Linked DNA regions of Tamandua tetradactyla. The protein of the gene in region 3 interacts with the protein of the main gene of each other region in a pairwise test. Links are inferred from orthologs where the notes say so. Each region holds a gene or a part of one and is shown on either strand. Other genes may lie near its edges. The genes, in order: KIAA0408, TBC1D22B and SORBS3.

Region 1 (7,893 bases), on a different chromosome or scaffold from region 3:
AAGCTTCTCATCCAGATTAAGACAAATATGGCCCTGTCCTAAGTGATATAATAGAACTGCAGGGTTTTGATCATGGATCAGTCAGTATTAAAGTAGACCCCAAATTATTTCTTGATTAGATGCCAGTTATTCCTGCACTCAGCTCACCCTTGAAGAGAGGAAGGAAGTGGCCTTCTGTTTAGGATTGAATCTTGGGGAAGTGTGTCAAATTTCAACAGACCATTGAAGCAAATGGCTCTACCATTTTACAAAGACAACCAAGATCTACATTACTGATATTGTATAAGGAATATAATAACAGACTTACTGCTGTTCAGTATTTACCCAAATCTCAGTTGAGTGAAGCTCTATGTAAAGTTGATGTCTGCAAGACTTGCAGTCCACTTGTTTCTCTCAATACTCAATGAATCTATGAATTAAGCCAGGATACCTTCAAACAGCAACCTTGAATCAAATGTTTTGGCCCCTAAAATAATTTTTACTGAATTGTTTTGGGCATTATGACTTTGCAGACCTTGAAGGGTATTATAAGAAGCAGTCCTAAAAAATGTGTTCAACCTAAGGATGCTACTGGTGGCATTGTCCTCTTTTTCATGAAGCATGGAATAAAACAAAATTGCTTCAGTTTAAAAATGAGAGAAACCTGGTTTTCCTGGGAAATAGATTTGTTTCTGTCTTCTAGATATTGAAACATAGATATCAGACAATTTTTGAGTTAGGCCCTAGAAAGCTTACACTCATCACATAGATTTCACACATTATCCTTCCTTGCCTTCATTTTTGTTTTGGCATTCTTTGCCTTATGTGCAATTTTGTATGCCATCTTAAACCCTTTTTTGGGACTTGAATGAGGTGCAAATAAATGAACAACATAATATGACTGATGGAAGACAATTTATTTTGCATAAGGAAATCTCCATGGCCTAGTGCTCAGCCCTTGTCAATGGTTATCTGATCATTCCGGTAAAGGAGAGAAGCAAGAATGAGTGCAATGCAATGAAAGGTTTCCAGATGTCAATGAACTCTATTCCAGAGTTTCTGTCTGGATTATTCCAGGGTTCAAATGATCCAAGTGTGTACATTTTGGTTTTGCAGTAACAAATGCAAAAGGAATTCACAATCAAGTGTGAAGAGTTGCTGATAGAAAGTCAGAGTCTTAATACATATCAATGCACACTCTCAGCAGACAACAGGATCATTTGAAATCACTGACATTACAACTCTGTATTGGGGAATCTATAATTCCCTAAGACATGGCTTAAAAATTTAATCCTCAGAAGTCAGTGGTAAATGTTATATAAACTCAGTATGTTGTGCTTATGGCATAATAAAATTTTTCCAAGTATTGATTTCTTAATTTTCGTCTTTAAGAATTGCTTTGATTCTCTCTGAGACAAATGAAAATGCTTTCCTCCTGTTTTCTTCAGTCTTTCTATCCCCAGTTTTGCAGCCAATAAGAAGGCATCTTTTATACATGTTTTGAAATTTATTATAAATATTTCATACATATTATATGCATGTGTGTTTGTATATGTCCACACACAAATGGTAAAGGGGGAGCATAGTGCAGGTATTCAGCAGTTATAGAACTTTGTCTAGGGGCATCCTGGGTAAGCACATTGTCTCAATACATTCTAGCCCCAGCTATGGAGATTATTCCACAGATATCATCAGGCAGCAAAGGCATGAATACAGCACTATAGCAACCTCCAAGAGGAATAAGATATTTTATCATTACAACAATTCTGTCTCCCTGATGCAAAAATATGGAGTCCTTAAAAGAACAGTATCTATAGGAACCACAATCCTATGTTTAAGTGTGTTTAATGCCAACTAATTGATAAGGCTAATACTTACCTTAGATGGAATCTACAGAGTTGTCAGAATAATTTGCTATTTGACAATAACAAATTTAACCAGACACCAGATTTTTAAGCTAATGGTATTAATTGTCTAGACCAATCCTGCTTTCCTTAATTATTTTGTTTGGATGCTAGGAGTATCTTGAGATGTTACTAACTGGACCTTTCATGCCTTTTGAGGCCATAATTATAAGTCAGTTTGTGACTGAATTGGACTTTTGGATTCTGATTTGACCTATGCATATTGTTGCTAATACAATTTGAGTCTCTGGGTAGAGGAATTAAGGAAGCAAGCTCAACACATTTTGCAAACTACAGAGTGATAAATTGTGGATTACTCCAAGCAAAGAAATTACATTTCTTTGCCCTTCAATCTCTAATTATGCACTAGTTGCCTGCCTTCTTAGTTCTATTTTAGTGGAAGGTCCATTGGCTATTGTCTCTTTCCTTTTATCATGCCGATTTATATTTTAATCACAACCAATTATGTGGTTGCTAGTAAGAAAAAAGTTTGTGCTATGAACACGTAAAGTGCTTGTTTTGATTGCCTGCGAATAAAGGCCCATGAGTCTGTTAAAATAACCACTTTAATAATGTGCATAATCTCACAGAAGTCAATACTATGGATGTTACCAGAAGAATGTATAAACAGTTTTCAGTTGGAGTAAACCTGAATATACACTAATGCAAACCCTTGAAAGAAACATACCAGTCCCGACAGGCTGAGGAATGGTTAAAGGAGATGCAATGACTGTGTCAGGCATGGTATGATATTTTTTATGATCCCCTTCTTAATAAATGTAGCAACACCTTTTCCAGTGCCATTTTATGTTTGACATATAACAGTCTTTTAAAAAACATATACTGAGTTGTCTAGCATGTAATTTCCCTTAGTAGACATTATTTATAAATGATCTCAGGAAAAGAAAGATCTATATTATAATGCCCAATTGCAGTTTTGCTGATACATGTCCCAGTAGTTACGTCTTACTTTCTTGAGTTTTCCTCATGGGCCCTGGTGTTTTAGAACTCACGCAAAATACCTATCTCACTTCTGATACCCAGGCTCTCTGGCCATAAACTAATAAACGGACACATTTTAGAGTGACATTTTAAGCTCCTAATTTCCATCCAGGGCTATGAAATGAGCCCAGGTGCTCAGATACCACTGACTAAGGCTGTGCTATTTCTGATCTAGTAAATGTCACTGAGACATGCATCTGTCAGAATGGATAAGGACAATAAAAATGTTTCCAATTCAAGAGAAAGCTTAACAGAATTTGCATCTGAGCTGGAATTTTGCAATATATTCAAAACAAATCAGCTCGTACCTCTTCTATCTTCTTCTGCATGATCTTCCATTGACTTTCCCATTCCTTCCTTTCATTGTCAAACTGGTCCAGTAATTCCATCTTCTCTTTGTGCCAGTTGGTCTCTGTGTTCTCCCACTGCTTATGCAGGTCCATGGCAACCGCGGGTCAGCAAAGAGGTGTTTCAGCTCGTCTCTGCCTTCTCTTAACTGTTTCTTGGAAGCTTGGAGGTGTTTTATTTGAAGCAATCTCGCTTGTCTTAAAATAAAGCCTAATATAAACATAATAAGAGAAAGTTCCAAATCCATGTGCTTTCTGGAAACAGTTTATCAAATTGCAAGAGCCATTAAAATAAACTATAGGAAAACTGGACTCAAAAGAAAAGAAATAGATGACAACAATCTGCTTAAGAACAAAAACCTAATACAGTCCATAAAGAAAGACTGTCCAAAGTTTTCCTTTCCCCTTTGTTTCTGAGACCAGACAGCAAAATTATACTGGGCGTCATGGTTGCACGCAGGTGTGAGTTCTAAGTTTTCCTTTACCTAACCAACTATTCTAAAGATTGTCTTTATTTTTCATGAATATGTAAGAGGGGACGTATCAAGTTCAACTCCACGCTGCATCTACACAACAGTGGCAGATTCTGCTGCAATCTAATTACTGTTTTAGGCAATCTGATTATATGTTTCTGTGACTAAATTCCTAAGCCAGTGCTGAACTAGAGTGTCAATTCTACATTCAGAGACCTTGTCAAATGTGATACCGCATCAATTAAGACTATGTTGGTAGTCGACCTTGAACAGATGTGTCACCAAGAGATCAAATTATACAAATATATTTTAATTATGTCACTTCACCAAATAAAATTGGAAAACATCAAAACTATGCTGTGCGTTAAGCTAAAATTTATCTAGCTCTCTTTCCCTTTTCATAGACCATATATCATAAACTGTTTAATAAACTGTTTAGGACATTAGAATGCAGAGAATTGAAGAAAATCTTTTACTCATTTTACTCCTTGATAATAAGCAGTGATAATAATAATTTGATTACATATTTGGGGTATGTGCATTTAGGGTTTTAAGATATGGTTTAATATATTAGATCTGCGTCTCCATTTAAAGTTACCTAAAATTTCTGAGCTTCAGTTTATTCACATTAACATAAGAATTTTCACAGGCTTGATTTAAAGATTAAATGACATGTTGAATACAACGTAGTTTATAAAATATTTTAAAATTTCCCCAATTTTGCATTTAAAATGTTTGCTCTTGCTTTAATTGAAAATAATTTGTGATTAATAAAGTCAGATAGCTTTTTAATGGGCAGAAAAGCATATTTAACATGCATGACTCTCCATCTAAAATAATCATGCCCATAAGCAGTGTAACTTTTCAGTTTATTAGGTCAGTACCGAATTGCCTTACATTATCACGTTGTAGCTCATGCTAATTATGAGCAAAGTTCCTAAGAGTCAAAAGCTTCCTGAGTGCTGGCATTGTAGAATTAAACCTACATAACCAGGCCATTTCTATAGTTACAGATGATGGCTGAATGTGTCATACCCTAAGTTAAGATAAAAACTGAAGACTAATTTTACTTTTGTAAGACTGTTCTGACTATACATGAGGGGCAAACCCGTCTGAACATATACTTTTGATCTGCAATCTATCAATGAATTATAATATATAATAAGAAAACAAACGTTAGTCAGGTATTTAGGGCTTCACCTCCAAAAGCACCGTAGCTATACTGTGATGTATATTGCTATTATTCTCTCAAAGTATGGCACCAGAAATTTGTCTGGCTCTGGTAAGGGGAGGTTTGTCAACTGGGCCTTCTCAGTATTACATGATGAGCTGGTAATTTTGAATAGATAATTTTTACTTATTGTCTTGGCACTTGCAATATTATGACTAATTCAGTCGTGAAAAATGAGTCATTTCGGATTTAGCCATTAAACGTGCTACCATGTCTCATTTTATCCACCTCACCATTTCCTATTTCTAACCCCATTCTCCATCTCTTCTACCACTTCTACTTCTTTTTTGTGCCCTCCACACCTACGGGCAGTGACTAAGTATCTACTCCAGCAAGTGCACAGTCACCCCAAAATCAATCTGTCGTCAAGGACCCATCAAAACAAAGAACATACAGAATTTTTGTATGTATGGTTAAACTGCAGGTTTAACCACGGACATTATAAAATAGGAGCAGAACAATTTCAAACAATCTGGAAAAGAGAGGCTACGGTAACCTTGTTTAGCCCACTGTCTCTAAACACTGGCAATATTCAGAGAGCATCATTAAGTTTCCTCTACATTAATGTCGCAAATGGCTCCGATTTTCCTTTCTATTCCTAACTCTCCTTGAAGCACTTCCACACCAGTTACGAGAGTGTCAGCCCCTTCTCCCTTCACCGACCTGAAGGCTTGCTCTGGGTGCCGGGCCGCACCTGCACCAGGGGACGCTCCTGGGCAGGCAGACTGAGCCCCGCGCATCCTGGCAAGGAGCCAAACCCATCACTTCCTGCGCCCCAGGGCCCGAGCAAGTTCTAGTGCCAGGAAATACGATGGTGACAGATCAAAGACAAGCCCTTGAAAAATAAACACTCAAGGGCAAAATCTGTACCAGTTTTTTCACAGCAGAATTTATGTGGCCTTTTTGCATCTCTGCCCTGTCAAAACCATCAAACATAACGTCTTGACGATACTGCTTCTCCATCTAGACATCATGTGAGGGCTGCAGGCTCGTGAGGATGAGGAAGAGAGGTGATGCCTGCCACCACTGCGGCCCACAGCGAGTGCTCCACAAACGCCCATTTCTCCTCTTTCTCCTCCACCCCTGCTTTCTTCCTGACCCTCCTCACTCCTGCCTTCCTTCTTCTACCTCTCCGCATTTTTTGTTTCTTTTCACCTTCATGATTTTTATCTTTATTTAATCAGTCAACTTATAGAACAAGTCCAACTATGTGGAAATTTCTTTTATTATCAGCAGTTTTCCTCTGCCCTCAGTATTCTTCAAGCGTTTTAAGGATACATATTAGGAAATATTTTTAATTGTTAGCAAAAATGTGAATAAACAAATCTTGCATAAAACTGCTTTCGTCAGAACGCTAACACTTAAGTATTAAAAAAAAATGAAGGGTCAGTTTTGTAGGGACAGAATGTTCTGGAACGAGAAGTTATGGGGTAAAGCGGTTCACCACACGCGGAAACGCAAACCCAGTGCTCTCTACCCAGGCAAATATGAAAGTTCTCTTTGTTCCTCATTGTCAGCCTTTTTCTCCCACAGATATCGGCATCTACGTGGGAGAGAAGGAAGGATTTCTGCGATCCGCCGCCCTCCCCCGTGTCTCTTTGATTCTCTATTGCACTGCAGTCCTTCCCGAATTCCCTTCAGAGTTAACATTTGTTAGCGCCCAGGGGAAAGGACAGGGCGAGCTGCGTGACTTAGTCACACGCGTCCTTCCTACCGGACAGCTCTCCACTGGCATTTCTGATTCCCTTTATCCAGAACTGGAGGGTGGCCTGGCTAAGTCTGGAGGTGGGAAGGAAATAGTTCATCTCACCTTCTGGCCCTACTAGAAAGCAAACTTTCTAAGTAAGACAGGGTTCTCACAAGAAATTATTTCCACTCACCAAATTAGCTTAGGTTGGTCTCTTTTACTTGAGGGAAGCTCCAATCTTGTTATGACCAGGTCAACCCCACTTTTTCCCCACTGAAAACTGCCAATCAGACAAATCCATATGAGGGAAATTTTCTAGTAGCTACTTCTCTCTTCTGAGACTTTTGTTCAGAATATGTGTTCTTTGCTCTCCTATTTCTTTTTTCTTAACACATCCATGAAGATTTTTCAATTATATATATGAGGTTGCATATTCCAACGCCACTCCCAGTGGGTACTGCCACTATCACAACTCTAAGAAGAATCATTTCCCTGGAAACGCTTTGTTTCTAGTTAACTTTGAGGCATCAGCTATTTCCATGCCTACACCTGTCCAAGTAATGCACCTTTTGCTACCAAAACCCCTTAGCCATTTCTCCAGACTATTACAAATGACTTGCACCATCTCATCTAATATCGGACCTTATTCCTGCCATATTGTCCACAGACAAATGCATTCTTCTAGAGACAACCATATGATTTTGTTCCTGGGTAATAGGAAATATTTTTACTGCTATTTATTGCTATTTCAGCATGTTCTGCCTGTTTCAGACAAAGCCAAAGAGACACTACCACACGCAATTCCAAAGAAATCAACTTTGCCTTCTCATTTAATCTTTTCCTTTCCTGACTTTCCTCTCCATTTATTTACTCCAATGAGAAAATACCCAAGCAATAGGTAAACTCATTTTACTTCTCTTAGCTTATAAAATAAACACTTGGAAGGAAATTATTGGCAGGAAAACAAATGGCTCAAATTAATGAGTAACCAGCTAAAGCAAGAGAAGATGTAGTGGCAAGACTCCCTCTTACCTGCAGAAGATTAGCCCATTATGCAGAGACTGCAACTCAAATTACTGAAACACCTAATATGCAGTGAAAAAAACATTACCTTGGATGAAATTCTATTTTCACTGCAATTTTCAAATATCAGCGATCTCTCGGATTGTGAAATTTACTTTGCACACCATAAAAGTCATCATCCTCATAAAAACAGGATTCTAAGAAATATAGTGAAGCCTCTTGGTGTGCAGTTGTTGAAACTACTGAA
Region 2 (8,030 bases), on a different chromosome or scaffold from region 3:
AGTATTAAGCTTAGGAAATGAAGCCAGTCACAAAGGCCACATATTGAATTATTAAATTTATATAAAATGGACAGAATAGGCAAATCCATAGAAACAGAAAATAGATTAGTGGTTACCAGGTGCTGGAAGGAAGGAGTAATGGGAAGTGACTGCTAAGAGGCATGCATTTCTTTCTGCGGTGATGGAAATGTTTTGAAATTAGTGGTGATGGATGCCCAGCACTATGAATACCCTTAAAAAAGCAATGAATTGTACACTGTAAAAGGGTTTTATGGTATGTGAATTTCATCCTATTAAAACTGTTATTTTTTTTTTAATAAAAGAGCATTTATTTCAAACAGAGTCAGGAGGTTATCCTGGAGGTTATTCTTATACATTATATAGATATTCTGTTGTAGTTTATGGTGAACTGGAGTGGCTAGAAGGACCTGAAACTGCTGAGCTGTGTTCCAGTAGCCCTGTTTCTTGAAGACTGTATAACTATATAGCATTTACAACGTGACCATGTGATTGTGAAAACTTTGTGTCTGATGCTCCCTTTATCCAGGATATGGACAGATGAGTAAAAGAATAAGGATAAAAAATATATAAATAATAGGGGGGATAAAGGGTAAAAATTGGGTAGATCAAAATATATTAGTTGTCAATGAGACGGAGGAGTAAGGGCTGTGAGATGAGTTCTTTTTTTCTCCTTTTTATTTCTTTTTCTGGAGTGATGCAAATGTTCTAAATATGATCATGGTGAAGAATACACAATTATATGATATCGTGAGCCCTTGATTGTATAATATGGTTAGACTGTATGTGTGTAAATATTTCTCAATGAAAAAACGAGGCATTTAATTAATTTTGAACCTAGGTTATTTTAACTAAATAAAATTCCTATTGTTGTCATTAAGGTCTCTAGATCCTGATCAAAGAAACTGAAAGTTTCTGAAACTTTCTGAAGTACCCTGCCATCACTTTGATTTTTTACCTTTCAATCTGCAGAGTAAACTAGTCTCACTTCTAGAGTGTCATGATCTTAGCATACAGCCATTTGTTTCATTTCTCCACACAGGAGAAAGGTTTTTTTCACTAAAACTGAAAGAGTACAGATGTAAAGTTCTTAAATCAAAGCACCTTTCTATCTAAAAGAACCTTAATTGTCTACCATAAACAGGGGTGTCTGGGGCTTCCCTGCTAAAAGCTCAGACCTGAACAATGTTTCTCTTCAACAAACAAGGCATCAAAAAATCTTATGAAGTGTGGCAACAATTTAATACCTTAAGAATAAACAATAAACCCTAATACTAGGGTAAGAACTTGAGAAACAAGCTTTTAAGTTTACTTGCTCTAACAGTAACAGCAATTTTAATAATTACTATTTATTAAGCAACTGTAATATGCTATATAAACTCTCTCCTAGATTCTTTACAAATACAGTATTTCATTTAGTCTTCACAATAACTCTGAGGAAGTTACTGTTATCCTCATGTCACAGATAAGAAAACCGAGGTCTAGAGAAATTAAGTATTTGTCCTTGGTGGCACAGGTAAATAAGAGACGAGGTCTTTTTTAAATCAAATGGTCTACTCTATTCCTCTACATTCCTCTTTAAAGTGAAAAAAGAAGTCAGAAACTTGAAGAAATTTAATAAAGACTCTTCTTTCTATCTCACAAAAGCAGTGCTTTCAAAAAGTTGACTGTTCCTATAGTCCAAAAGAGGAAGTGTGGAAAACAAAAGATCATTAATAGCAACCAGCAGTCAGTAGGCACAAAAGACCATGCCATGTCCAAAGCTCATATACTCCTTCCTGATTTAACAGTTTTCCCTTTAATTCTGATTACTATCTGAGGATGTCAAATTTTAATGATCTTACTATGGAAAACCCCAGAGAACAGAAGTTAGCACAACTGGAGAGCTCACCAGATCAGGAAGGAAAAGGAATCAGTTGGCAGGAAGTGGTGCTTATCTAAAAACATCAAAAGTCTTTAGCACTAATATTAACACTGTAATTCCACAGCATTACAATCCGAAGTTATCTTTGCATTATTTTAATAATGTATTACTAAAAGTTGATTCCCATCCTATTCGCTATAGGTCTAACAAGATCCTAATAAAATCAGACTGCTACATAGTCATCACTGGCCCTCATTTCTCTCGTTAAAAAGGCACAAATTCGAAAAAAAGTAGTTTAGAAGGTCTGCTCTCCAACTAAACTGAGGAATGAAAGAATTCAGAATTAGTACGTTTGCACACGAATATTACCACGCAGGGAGGAGGGTGGTCTGTAGGCAATGGACAAAAACCTGAAAAATGCCGGGAAAAAAAAAAAAGCCCCGATTCTAGGGTCACCTTGTAATAATTCCTAATGGAAAAGGGCCGACTTGAGATAAAGTACGGTCGGGTTGGAGGATTTTCCTCACTTTTTTTGTCCCTTACAGGCAGCCCGAGCTCCTACCAGAACCTTTTACGAGTCCAGGAGAAAGATTCAAACGTGTGGAACTGGGAGAATAAGGGAAGGGGCTATCCTCAACGCAAGCAACCACCTGTGCAAGGTGACGACCCCCGGAAGGGAATTCTGTTCAAAGTGGGAAGCAGCCCTGGGATGGTCATCCGAACCCAGGGCCGACACTGGCTATTCATCAAACTCCACTTCCCCTTACACCCGGTCTGCTCTGAGGGCAGGCACCCCCTTGGAGACCTCCGCCCCAAGACCCCTGTCTGCCCCCACACTCAGCCGTTTCCCAACTCCTCTGCCTGACAGCAGACCTGCCTCCCCCCGGCAGCCCCCGCCCCCCTAGAGCGGGTTTCCCCAGCCAGCCTTCCCGGCTCGGGGGCGCCCCAGGCCCGCGGGATTTAGGGCTTAGCATCTGGAGAGGTTTGATCCAATCCCCTCTCCGTTTCAGGGTCCTGGGCTCACCTCCCCGGCAGCTTGGCGCTCCTCTTCCAAAACTGCTTGCTGTTCTCGGCGGCCATGGCTCCAGCCCGGGGAAAGCGCTGTAGGCGGGCCTAGCTGGGGGACCCGGCCAGACGCCCCCAGACCCGGCAACCGGAGGGCCAACCCAGGCCGCTTCCCCGCCGCCGGTCACCCGCACCCAGCGCCAGGGAGCGCCATCTTGGATGTGGGCGCCCCTCCACCCAGCGCCGCTGCCATTGGTGGGCTGCAGAGGCCGTGGACGCACGGACCAATCGGGAGCCCGAATCCTGCATGCCCCTGAAGGCGATCGGCCACGTCATGAGCCGGGCATACAGGTGGACGGGGAAGGCGGAGCGTGAACAGGCAAGAAGGCGGGGCTGAAAGTTGCTACCTCCGGGAAGGGAGGAGAAGCAGGTAAAGAAAGGGACCTATGAGAAAGATGAAGGGTTCCGTTTTCTTAGGGAGAAATTAGGTCTCTCGTGTTTCTGAGTCTTATATATATATATGTTTTTAAGAGAGAGCGTGATCTGTATGTATGTATACATATAAAAAATCTTCGACCTAAAAGTCAAGGACTCATGTGTTGATTATGGCCCATTTTTAACATCTCCCGACTCAGTAACACTGTGATTATTATCTTCCCCTTCCAGGTTCTGTTTGGATCCCGCTTATTTATCTGTAAAGTAGAGTCAGTACGGATCCAATAACTGAGTTAACTGTTCTACACGTGAGTAACGGTTATTTTATCAGTCACCCTGGCCTCTGTTAATTGCACTGTGAAAGGAATTTGTTGTAGATGAAATTCGAATGATTTAATCCCTGTTTCAATCAATAATTCTGATTTTCTGACTATGAGAATCTAGATACTAAAAAACAGTGTTTAGGGAATGTTCTTATTTTATCCATCCAATTCAGACTACCACATACTATTTCTTAAGAGGACATAGTATCCCTCTATAGTGTAAATCACAAAGAATAAGGATGTAACCCCAAACATCCTTAATTTCCCTTTTAGTCTAGTATAAATCATTCACCCTTGAATTTATTTTCAATCTGATTTTGACTTAGAATAAGATTTAATATTATCATTTTGAATCTTTTGAATGTCTTCTTGGTGGTTTTGCTTTTTTTTGAGTTTCCCTGGTTGTATACCATGGGAATATTTACATGATGAAGGGAGGTCCAGAGTAGTTTTTGGAGTATGTATTGGAGTATACTTAACGACCTCCTGTCTAAAGAAGGACCTTCTTTTATATGTTTTCAATGGCCACTTTCTACATAGACTTTATCCCCAATGCCAAGCTTCTTTTGACCCCTAATTTTAGAATTATGGGTTTGTATGAAAAGGGCTATTTTTAGTCTCCTGAATCGTTCATGCTTTTACAGACTTTCATCTTATCTTCTCTCAACTAGCACCTTTATGGGCCTTAAATCCATTAAACAAAACCACCTCTGTCTTTTAAATCACTTTAGCCGCCTTTCTATGGCTCTTTTTCTTAGGATGCCGTGGCCAGCACTGCACAGTGAGCCCCCAAATGGGTGGATTTTTGTTGAAGCTGATGTTATCTCTTTATTCTGGACATCCAGAAACTTTGCTGGCATTTTTGGACTTTAGAAGAGTTAATGTCCTGGTGGAATAATCTACGGCGACTTCTAGATTCCTTTCCTTGGTGGTACCTGGCAGTTCAGAGTTCATAACATTAAATATATCATCTGAATTGTCTTTTCTTACGTACACTGCCTTACACTTGTCCACATGGCAAGACACTTGCCACTTTCCAGCATCCTCACATTGCATTAGAAATGTCCCAGAAGATGTCCCTATTGACTTGACATTTCACTAGGCAGAAAGCAGAATATAATTTGTGTGCCTATGTCTCAAAGTATTTCTTTTTCTTAATCATTTATGAAATGTTAAATAACACTGATTCCCAAGGGATGCTATTAATATTGTTCAACACAAAGAAGCTCTGTTATTCTTACTCTGTTTTCTACATCTGTTCTAGTTTGCTATCTGCCGGAATGCAATATACCAGAAATGGAATGGCTTTTAAAAGGGGAATTTAATAAGTTGCTGGTTTACAGTTCTAAGGCCGGGAAAATGTCCCAATTAAAATAAGTCTATAGAAATGTCCAATCTAAGGCATCCAGGGAGAGATACCTTGGTTCAAGAAGGCTGATGAAGTTCAGGGTTTCTCTCTCAAGTGAGAAGGCACATGACGAACACAGTCAAGGTTTTTCTCTCAGCTGGAAGGGCACATGGCAAACACGGCGTCATGCTAACTTTCTCTCCTGGCTTCCGTTTACATGAAGCTCCCCGGGAGACATTTTCCTTCTTCATCTCCAAAGGTTGCTGGCTTGTTGACTCTCTGCTTCGTGGTGCTGCAGCATTCTCTGCTCTCTCCAAATCTCTCATTCTCCGAAATATTTCCTCTATTATAGGACTCCAGTAAACCAGTCAAGACCCACCCAATGGGTGGAGACATGTCGTTACCTAATCCAGTTTAACAAGCACTCCTGATTTAATCACATCTCCAGGGAGATGATCTGATTACAGTTTCAAACATACAGTATTGAATAGGGACTATTCTGCCTTTACAAAATGGGATTTAGATTAAAACATGGCTTTTCTAGGGGCCATACATCCTTTCAAAGCAGCACATTGTCCGTACACATTTTTGGTTGGGAATTGTTAGAGAAAGCATGTCGCCTAATAGGACGTGTCCATTTTACCAAAGATCCTATAAGCTTGAGTAAACCTTTGGTTGAAGAACCATCTTCCTCTCTTGGGAAACACAATCTTCTTCAAACTCTTTTGCAGCTTCAGAAGAATATACTGGAGTGATATAAGAAGGAGACCACCTACCTACCCAGGACTCAAATCTACACTGTATATCAAAGATTATTTGTTTGTTGTCTGTCTCCATCTCCTGCAGCCAAATTCACACCAAACATTGCCCAGCTAGAGGTGAAAATTACTGGTTTAATGTTCCCAAGGTGTCCTTGGAGCCTTTTTGATGGAAGATTTTTTTTTTTGTATGCTGTGTGGTGGGGGTCACATTTCATTCCTTTTTCAGTGTGAATGTCCCATTATTGCAGCACCATTTGTTGATTTGGGGGGGTGGGGGGTGGGGGAGCACTGCATAAGCCAGAAATCAAATCTGGGTCTCCCGCATGGCGGGCAAGAATTCTACCACTGAACCACACTTGCACTCCCTTGATGGAGGTTCTTAGTGGCAGACATATATGTTCACTAGACCAATGCTTCTCATAATTTAATGTACATACAGATCACCTGGGACCTTATTAAAAGTCTAGTTCTAATTCAGTAGGTCTTGGCTGGAGCCTACAATTCTGCATTTCTCCAGAATTCCCAGATGACACTCATGCTGCTGAACTGTGGCCCTCACTTTGTAGATCTTCTCTTAATAGCTCTGTGATCTTTGAATTTGTCTGAAGTGTTTAATTATTTTGAAACCAAGTCAAGGACTCTCCTTAACCTCATCTTCATTCATAATAAGAATTAAACAACTTAGAATGGAGCAAAGTGGAGTTAAGGGAATGAACTGTGCAGGGTTTGTACTAAAAAGAGGTCGTATTTCCCAACGCTTAGGGAAAGTTTTATGTAAGAGATGGGACATGCAGGAAAAGAAAGAGAACAGCCTGAAGAACAGTAGAGAGGTCATTTCAGAGCAGATGCTCCGTGAGGAAAATAATAAGAGAGAATAAAAGCCTTTAGACTTAATAACAAAGAGTGCTGGTGGACTTTAACCTCAGTAAAAGAATGAAGTGGAAGGATGTAGACACTGTGATGACAGGAAGGGTTAAGAAATTAGGCAAGAAACAGCCCTCATAATGCACTGTAGAATGTTGCACCAACAAAGGAATGGTGAGATCAAGCTGGGATTTAAGGATAAGAGAGCTTTTTTGGTATCTAACCAACTAGAAAAAGCCAAATGAAAGAAATCAGTCATATTGGAGAAGGCAAAGGGATATACGAAAATCTGAAGAAGCAAGAATTTACTGAAATAAAGAAGGGAAGACAGAGTGATTAGAGCTTGGGATGTGGGTGAAAGAAAGATTAGGTACTTTGTTCTTAGGAATTTATTATATTAAGTCAAAAGGAGGGGGGAAAGCTCTGTGCATAAAGAAGTTCTGCACCTTATAACCAATAATAAATAGTGTGTATGTGGGGGGGGGAATATAATATTAAGATTTAAACATGAGGTTGTGGTTATACAAATTATGGTATGTGGTTTATAAATTTGATGAGCATATTGTGCCATGAAAAAGTGTTGAAATAATGAATTGTAACAAATGGAGCACACTAATGCAAGGTGTATATGGGAACTCTATTTTATGCATGATTTTTTTCTTCAAACCTTCAACTTCTCTAATAATTATATTTAAAAATGTTGAAAGCTACGTAGCACGTGGAAAAGGATTATAGTGTGATGTAAAGAGAGGAGACTGCAGAATGCAAAATACCATTGCTTGATTTCAATAAAAATACATTGAAATGTATGGTCAAAGACTGGAAGAAACATGGGAAATTAAGCAATTTTTGTTAGATGGTAGAATTATAGATCTTTTTCTTCTGGAGATTTTCTTTAATACTGCCATAGTTTTTATTATTGTGAAATATATCAGTTATGCAATGAACCAGGGGTTGGCAAGCTTGTTTATAAAGGGCCAGATAGTAAATATTTTAGATTCTGCAGGATATGCAATCTCTGTTGCAAGTCCTTAACTCTGCCATTGTAGCATAAAAACAACCATAGACAATAGGTTAATGAATGAGCATGGCCGTGTTGCAATAAAATGGCATTTATGGACATTGAAATTTGAATTTCATATAATTTTCACATCACAAAATATTGCTCTTCTGTCCATTTTTTTTCAACAATTTTAAAATGTAAAGACCATTCTTAGCTCATGGCCCATATAAAGACAGATGGTGCACCAGATTTTACCCACAGCTGGCAATTTGCCAATCCCTGCAATAAACAATAAAAGGCAAATAATATATACACATATACCCATAATCCAGACTGAAAAACAAAAAACGTTAAGATACAATTATAATCTCCATTTTTTCCCTTCCTGATCCCGTTCCCTTCCCTCTCT
Region 3 (8,111 bases):
ATGCTCAGGAGATTTACCTTCTTGTAGGGTGGAGGATAGGGGAGGGCAGGTCCCCCACTGCACCTGAGTCTTCCCCTTGGTGCCCCAATCTTCCCCTCCTCAACACTGCCCCACCTGGCTAACCTCCCAGAGCTGTGCAAGGCTAGAGGCGAGGAAGGTGCAGTCCTGTGAGGAGACATTATGCAGAGCCTCTCAGAGGGAAGATCGAAGCCCCCAGGGGGTTGGTCTTGCTTCTGGCAGAGGACAGAAGGTGCTGGGACATCTCTGGTCCTCCCAGAATTCAGCCAGCCCTTCAGTCCAGGCAACCCACCCCAAAGGATTGGAAGAAATGAGCTAGCTTTGCTTTAGTTGGCAAACTCCCTCCCAATCTCTACAGCCTTGACCTTGGCGACTTGGCCCTGTGCTCTTCCCAGGGTATTTTTCAGCTACATACAAGTCCACGTGGACAAGGACAAGGTTTTCTCAAATTTCTCCTTTTCCGGCTTGGGGCGGTGGGTGGGTGGGTGGGAGCTAATGGCCTCTTTCCACCCAAGTTTCCAGAGTTTGGGACGCGGAACCTCTGGGGACCCCACGAGGAGCGGCTCGGCGGCCTCCTCTTCGGGTTTGGCACAGGTCAGAGTTCCCTCCCAGTCCCTCCCCGCCTGCGGCCTCCGCCTCCTAGCCCGCCCTCCCCTCCGTGGCACCTACCTTCCCGGGCAGACAGGTGGCGGGGTCTGAGGACGCCTGGGCGGGCAGGAGCATCTCGGCCCGGCTCCTGCCAGGCGCGGCCGCTGTGGGCCCTCGGCGAGCGGCCGGGGAGACGTCCGAGGTGCGCTCCCTGCCCTCGTGACCCGGCCGGGCTGGGGCTGCGGGGGGCTGGGCGCCCCCGGAGGGAGAGGGCGACAGTGAGCGCGCGCGCGCGGGGAGGAAGGGAACGTGAGTGGGGAAGAGGGAGGGCGGCCGGCGGAGTTAGTGTTTCCAATCTGAACTGTTTGCCGAGGGGTGGGGTGGAGGGCCCGGCTACTCCCTCTCTCCCGCCTCGCGGGGCGGAGGCTCCGGGACGCGCCGCTGAGGGCGTGCGAGTGCCCTCCGTCGGGGCACTGGCCGGGCCGGGCGCGCCGCGGGGACGCTGGTGGCCCCTTGCCGGGGAGGTCGGGCCGGCCGGGAGGCGGCGCCGCCCGAGGGTCCCTGGGGAGCCCGCTCTGGTTTCCCAGCTGCCTTCCCCCCGGCCCCCCACCGTAAGGCTGGCGTCGGGAGGGACACGGGAGAGCCAGCCAGAGCCACTCAGAGTTTCCAGCGACATTTCCAGAGTGTGGGAAGGGAGCTGCTGCACTGCGGAGCCAGGACAGAGGGCAGAAGTGATTAACGACAGCGAGCGGTGGGCTCCAGAGCCCGGGCCGGCCAACGACTGATAGGGAGGCGGCAACTTCGAGAGGCCGGAGACCCGCAGGAGATGCAGACTGGCTGGGACCGAGATAAGCGGAGGGCGCCCCACAGGGAGTCCTTAGCAGAATGAGTTAAGGCCCGGCTGGCTCCCTCCCCACTAGGAAAAAGAGATTTTGTGCTTGCGTAAGCGCGCGTTCGGACGTGTGCAAACCCCACACATGCACACACACATGGCTCGCAAACGTGCAGGTACCCTGGAGACAGCCCCTGGAGGAAATTGGCCTAGGCGAGCAGCACACAGGGCATGCTGCCTCCCGAAAGAGGATGAGGGTGGGGTCTCTTCTGGCCGGGATGAGGTTTGGAGGATCTGACTGTTCCCATACACGGGATTTGTTTTGATCTTGCTGCTTTTCCTCTGTTCCCACATCTCTGGCCAGGGTTCCAAGAGTCCCTGCCCATTGACTCCCTGACCCTAGTGGCCTTCCCTTCTCTGCCCACCTTTCCTCCAAGTCCTGTGTCTGCACAGGGCCTGTTGCCGAAAGTGAGAGTGCTAAATGAGTGTTCATTGATAATGGAAACAGACTGGAATACTTCTAGCCTTTGGCTTGTTTCTGGAATCCTAAGCCCTAAACTAACTAAACAGCAACTTCAGACCCTCTTTGGGATGATAGTTATAAAGTGTCAAAGTAAGGAGACATTTATTGCATGCCTACTGGGTTTTAAGATCAGTGTCCTCAGAAGGCTTTTCAAGTATATTATTCAACTCAAAAGTTCAGAAGGGAGTAGGGAGAGGGAATGAAGCTATTTTAAATCCCTACCACCGCTGATGTTATTAGCTTTTAACTTATCTTTTCTCACTTCATTTAAAAGAATTATCTCTGGTTGCAATGGATGGGCTTGACACAGGATCAAATATGAAAGGAGATATTTAGGCTAAGGAGAAGCTTGAGAGACAGGGCGTGCAGGCTGACTTCCAATGTCTGTGGGACTGCAGCAATGTTTGCATTCTATGGAAGTACACTATGTGGGAGTGCAACTTCTGCTAACAGAAGTGGGACCATTGGGTACAAATTATAGGGAAAGCAATCCAAGCCTTCCAAGATAGTGTTCTTTAATAACTGTAAGTGTTCCAAGTCTGCCAATTGTGGATTGTTTTTGTCAAGGCAATTATTGCACTGAGCAGGGGGCTGAAGGAAACTGTTTCCTTGTAAGAATGTATGATTCTTTAGGAAAGATGAAGGGAAGGGGATGGATTTGAGAGCCACTCATAATAGAAGACAGCTACAGAAAGGAAGGTAGGAGCTCAGGAAACTTAAGGGCAGGAAGTGGAGCATCCCTCCCTTTCCTAAAGCTTGAGTACTTACCCACCCCTAGGGACCATTTTTTCTCTCCCTAGGGACAATGTATGTGCCCATTTCTCTAGTCACCAATTTTTCCCACCTGTTAGGATCCTTGGCACTAGGAAAGGCCACATCACTTTCATTTTCCTCCTTGTTTTCCAAAGACAGTGAAGCTGAAGATCCTATGACTCCAGGAATCCTGGCCATACCCTTTCTCACTAGCAGCAAGCTTCCCTTATTCTCTAGGGCTCTGACCTGGGCTCCAAGATAAATATTTAACCTAGAGGTTGCAGCTGAGCTGACAAAGGTCCCAACTTCCTGTTTGTCACAAAGGGAGGTGGCAGCCATCAGCAAGTAGCTGGGAACTGCCTACCAGTTTCATCGCTATGGAAATATGGAGTATACGGCTTCGTAGGAGGAGGAGGGGCAGGCCCTGATGGAGACCTGAGGTTTTCCCTAAGCTGCTCTGACTTCTGCCTGTCTTCTTAGGTGCTGATTCTGCCGGGCTTATGGCTTTTTCTCTCAGGTCAGAACATGCTTTGCCCTAGCACCAGCTAAAATCATTTTCCTTCCCAGCACCTTAGACTATCTGCTTGGACAAAGGAGGGCCTATAATGGGGACTGTCTGTTGTGTTCCGTGGTGCCCATCTGACCTCATAGAAGAGAGGATGAGGGATTGGTGAGCGCATAGGGCAGGAAAAAAAACAAGGAACCTTGACTACTTCCTCCTGTTCTGCCTATGTTTAGGGAAAAGAATCCCTACTCTTTGAAAAGTGGGAGATGAAGGGGGAAAAAAGAGTAGCAAGGTTCAGAGACAGCCCAAAACCAGGTGTCTGATTTCTCAACTCCTCCCTCTGTCTTCGTGCTATTTGTTGCTGGCCTGACTTCCCAGTTGGCATCTTTTTAGGGAGAGGCTGAGGATAGAGGAGACTGTCCTAGATAACATGGCTGTTGTCAACAGCAGAACAGATTCCTTTAATCCAAAAGCAGTGTGTCCTCTGCATGACTCCCTTATGCAGGGACCTCCTTCCCTGAGCTTGCCTCCTCCCCACCTCTGCCACTTTTTTTTTTTTAATTTTTAAAAAACATAACAAACAAACATTCTTAACATGTGATCATTCCATTCTACATAAATAATCAGTAATTCACAATATCATCACACAGTTGTATATTCATCATCATGATCATTTCTTAGAACATTTGCCTCAATTCAGAAAAAGAAATAAAGAGAAAACAGAAAAAATTTCATACATACCATACCCCTTACCCCTCCCTTTCACTGATCACAAGCACTTCAATCTACTAAATTTATTTTAACATTTGTTCCCCCTATTATTTACTTTTATTCCATAGGTTTTACTCGTCTGTCATAATGTAGATAAAAGGAGCAGTACGGTAGATAAAAGGAGCACTGGCACTATCTTTTGTCAGGGGACTGCCTCTGCCTTCTCAGAGCCACCTCAGCCATAGTAAACATAGTTACATAATTGCTGTTTTTCCTAGCTGTCAGATCCCAATCACCAGTATCTTAGGCCCCCCTCTCCACTCCTGGAGGCTACCACCTTTAGTTCTGTGGATTATCCCTTAATAGCACCCATGTCAGCAGAGGTCTGTCCATTCCAACCACCCTAAGGGATGATTAGTCAAGAGACTACCAATTAATGTGGGACTTCACACAAAAGGGAAGAAGGTGGCTTTTCATGCAGGAATGCAGGTCACACTGAAAACTAACCTGTCACCAACAGGAAGGTTGAACGGAAAGTGGACTTCAGTAGTTTTTTATTATAAAGGAAGGCTAGGTAAATAGGGTCCAGCAGAGAACTGTTACATTTCTTAAGTGGGGAAAGGGAAGCCAGGGATCCCAGAAGACATAAATATGGACTCCTTCTTGAGGAGTGTCTTTATCTGGGCCTGGGAGTTTGGTATTCACACCAGACACACTGCTGTGATCTACCCTAAACAGCTAAGTGCCTCCTCAGCTTTGTGCCTCAGTCCCCCTACATTAGATAAAGGAAAGGCATCTATTGTTCCTTTTTTTCTCAGGGATGAATTTTCAGGTAGACTTTGAGCTGGTTTTTTATTTGTACTCTCAGGAGTGTTTTCTTCCTGCCAAGGGAACTGAGCAAGCAGATCAGAATGGATTAGGAAAGAAAGCACTGTCCCTTTCGACGAGTTTGGACTTCTCTATTGGGGAAGCTGACAGTGACACAGCAGTGAGGAACTGAAGACCAGTCATACACACACCAGCAAAAATCTGGGCTGTTTCATCCCCTGAACGCCATCCCTTTCTCCTGGGTCCTCTCCTGATTCCAGCACCTGCATGTGTTCCCAGCCAGGTTCTACTGATTGCCCTTATCTGTACCAGCCACTCATGGGAACAAGAGCAAGCAGAGGAGGAAAGAGTAAATGACCCTCTTTGGGGCTTAAAAGGCCCTCCTAAATGGACAATGGCATGATGTAGATGGCCTATTCCCATGTCTTGTTCATCTGAAATCCAAGATTTTTGTTGTAGTCACTGTAAAATGAGGGATATTTGAGAGTGAGAAATATATGAGATTAATACAGGTCAGGTATGGTCAATGGTGGGCCCTGGAAGCCAGAACGACTGAGGGGATCCCCAAAGGATTAGAATGAGGCTTTCAGACCTGCCTTTGTACAAATCTTTCCATAGCATACACATGATGGAACGGGCATCTATTCAAGGTTCTTGGAACCAACAAAATCCAAATCCTAGAGGCTGCGTGAGAACTCAGCCTTTTGCCCAGTTTATCTAGTCTATCCTCAAGGAAGGTTTTACACTGACATAACAATTATTCTCTCTCTTCCTCTTTTCCAGTTGGGCAAACAAGCACAATGCACAGATGAGGTGTCTTTGAGAAGAACTGAGCTGTGTGAACTTCTTTTAGTTCTCAGGAAAGATGGAAAGAGAAGTGTCTGTCAGCTCTTTAGAGACTAGATTTTATAGGGGAAGGATAAATGAGTGATGACCTCAGAGGAAAAACCCAGCCAAGTCAGCTCAACCACAAAGAAGAGCACAGAACCAGGAGTTGGAAAATTAGGTATGCATCAACCATCTTTCCTAGCTCAGTTAAGCTAAGCTAAGTAAGATAAGAGGGATGATTTGTTGGCCAGTGTACACTTGAGGTAGAATTCTGGCCTCTGAACAAAGAATAACCTTGTCTTTCCACCTCCGATTTTATGATGAACCTTCTCCTTAACTGCATCAACATTAAAAAAAAGACCATCTAATTTACTGTTAAATTCTTAATTCCCTGCATCAGAATTAAATAGATATTCTTTCTAAAATCTGGAAATTTTGATAAAAAATATAAAACCATGTAATTACATTTAGCAGCCCAAGAAATGGGGATTAGATCTTGATATAGCAAGAATTAAATACAATTTTGCATTTGGATCCTTAATTACCAGGCTTTTAAAAAAGTTTTAGGACCTGGTTGTCAATTCTGGAAATAAGGGCACATATAATATTCCTATTTTGCTGAAGGTTTAGCTGAAATATAAGGATAACGCTAAGGCATGATGCTATTGGAATAACAAAGAACTCAAAATGTATACCCAGCTTATCTGAGATTAGAAATCTGGACTTGTTTTATGGGCTGTGAACTGCACTGTGGCCCTCAATGTGGTATGTTTAAAGTAAAAAATTCTGAACTTGGGTTTGACTTTCTGGATTTAGACTTTCTACCTCCTCTGCCATAACGTGTAGAACTTCCTCACTGATGCATTTTCCTTTCAGGCTGCTAGGCACTTTCCCTATCCTCAATTACCCACTTGCCCAGAGGAGGTTATTTTTCCTCTTGACTCCCCAGCACCTGATGTTTCTACTTTTCAGATGAATCACAGGGCTGGTTCTGATGCTTCTTTTTCTTGGAGTCTGACTTAACACTCAACTCCTCTCTGCCTTCTTCAGCTTCTCCTGAGTGGGAATTCATCCATGTCTATTATTAGGATCACAGGCAGAGTAATTAACTTACTACAATAAAAGACTTTTTTTTCAGTTTCGTAAAAACAGTCTTCTGGGAGCCTTTCTTCCCTTTTTTAAAGTTGCGGCCTCTGCTGGAGAAGCCACAGAAGGAGCTTGGATTTGAGCATGAGTTACTTATGGCAAAATGCCAGGAAGGCAGCCAAGGGCCCCGGAATGAATTCTGAGTGAAGAGAAATAGAAATACCTCTACAGTTATCAAAGCCAATTTAAAAATAAAGGATAAGAGAGAAAGAAATAGGTATTTTTTATTATGATGGAATTCCATCTCTTAAGAGGGGAATTCCTTGGCATTGTCAGCGACCAGACCAGACACTAAACACCAAGCTTTCCCTCGACTTCTAGAATTATTAAATAGGTAAGAGCCAAATATAAGTGCCTTCATCAGGAAATAAAGAAAACAGGGAGTCAATGAAGGTATAGTTTAATTTTAAGAGAGTTTTCTTTTTTTTTTATCTTTAAGATGATTTCCAATTTACAGTAAGAAAGTTCGAACAAATTCATTTCTTATTCTCAAGAAAGACTAATTAAATGATTTCTGCCAAAATAACATTTCCACCATCTCTTTAACATAACTGAAAGCATGAAAAAAGCATGTAATCTCTAAGAATAAGTATATATTCCGTAATTCATAAGAACCTAAAAATAATTACACTGCCAGCTAGTATCATGTGTCTGACCACCTCAAATAGGATGCAAAACCAGGATCTTTTCATTGGAAATGACTGCTGACATTTCTATTAGGAAAAATAGCTGTTGGTTATAGTACACTGAAAAAGGACAAGTGAGATGTTCATGATGGCATCTTAAAAAGATACTTTGACAAAACTCCACATCTTTATTATTCAAACTTAAAAATCTATGGTACATTACCTCCTTCACTTCAACATGCAAAAAAAAAAAGTTATTTTGAGGACAGCTATGTCAAGGGAATTTTGGTAAGGGCATATAGGAGGGCAATGTGAATGGCCCTACTTTAGAGCTGCTTGGAGGGATGGTCCACATGCATGTCCTTGTTTCTTGATTTTAAGCCACCTAGATTTGTCATGGGGTTATAGAAGAGGAGAAGATGCTAAGACTGGTCATAACTGTCTCAGACAAAGGTGGTATTTAGTGAGTCTTGTCAAGCTTGCTGAGACATGAGGTCAAGGTCTCCTTGGAGGGAATATACTCTGCAGTGTTACCTTTACCTTTGTGGCTGTGTAGATGAAAGCAGCGAACACTGACCTCATTCACTTCTGTTGGCAGGCCATGTCACAAGTCTCAATGTAATATAGGTTCTCTCTTTCACACTCTGTCAATGGCACAAAGCTCTATTGTTAGCATTGGTCTCTGCTTTCACTTAAGTAAAACCCTGTTTTTCTACTGTACAGATTTCTTCCTCAAGACACATTTGCTCTTTC

Evidence for each region.
Region 1: the proteins of SORBS3 (region 3) and KIAA0408 interact in binary tests that used the Homo sapiens proteins (3 or more experiments, as listed by UniProt). The two-hybrid records come from large-scale screens. The link is inferred for Tamandua tetradactyla from reciprocal best matches to the Homo sapiens genes SORBS3 and KIAA0408.
Region 2: the proteins of SORBS3 (region 3) and TBC1D22B interact in binary tests that used the Homo sapiens proteins (3 or more experiments, as listed by UniProt). The link is inferred for Tamandua tetradactyla from reciprocal best matches to the Homo sapiens genes SORBS3 and TBC1D22B.

What each region holds. Positions count from the first base shown.
Region 1 is NC_135331.1:188,751,036-188,758,928, forward strand, and holds the start of KIAA0408 (uncharacterized protein KIAA0408 homolog), read right to left. Parts: upstream 3,329-7,893; coding exon 3,194-3,328; intron 1-3,193.
Region 2 is NC_135331.1:94,153,144-94,161,173, reverse strand, and holds the start of TBC1D22B (TBC1 domain family member 22B), read right to left. Parts: upstream 3,114-8,030; 5' UTR 2,963-3,113; coding exon 2,907-2,962; intron 1-2,906. UniProt on the Homo sapiens protein: May act as a GTPase-activating protein for Rab family protein(s).
Region 3 is NC_135329.1:23,326,970-23,335,080, reverse strand, and holds the start of SORBS3 (vinexin), read right to left. Parts: upstream 3,459-8,111; 5' UTR 3,054-3,458; coding exon 2,806-3,053; intron 856-2,805; coding exon 688-855; intron 1-687. UniProt on the Homo sapiens protein: Vinexin alpha isoform promotes up-regulation of actin stress fiber formation. Vinexin beta isoform plays a role in cell spreading and enhances the activation of JNK/SAPK in response to EGF stimulation by using its third SH3 domain.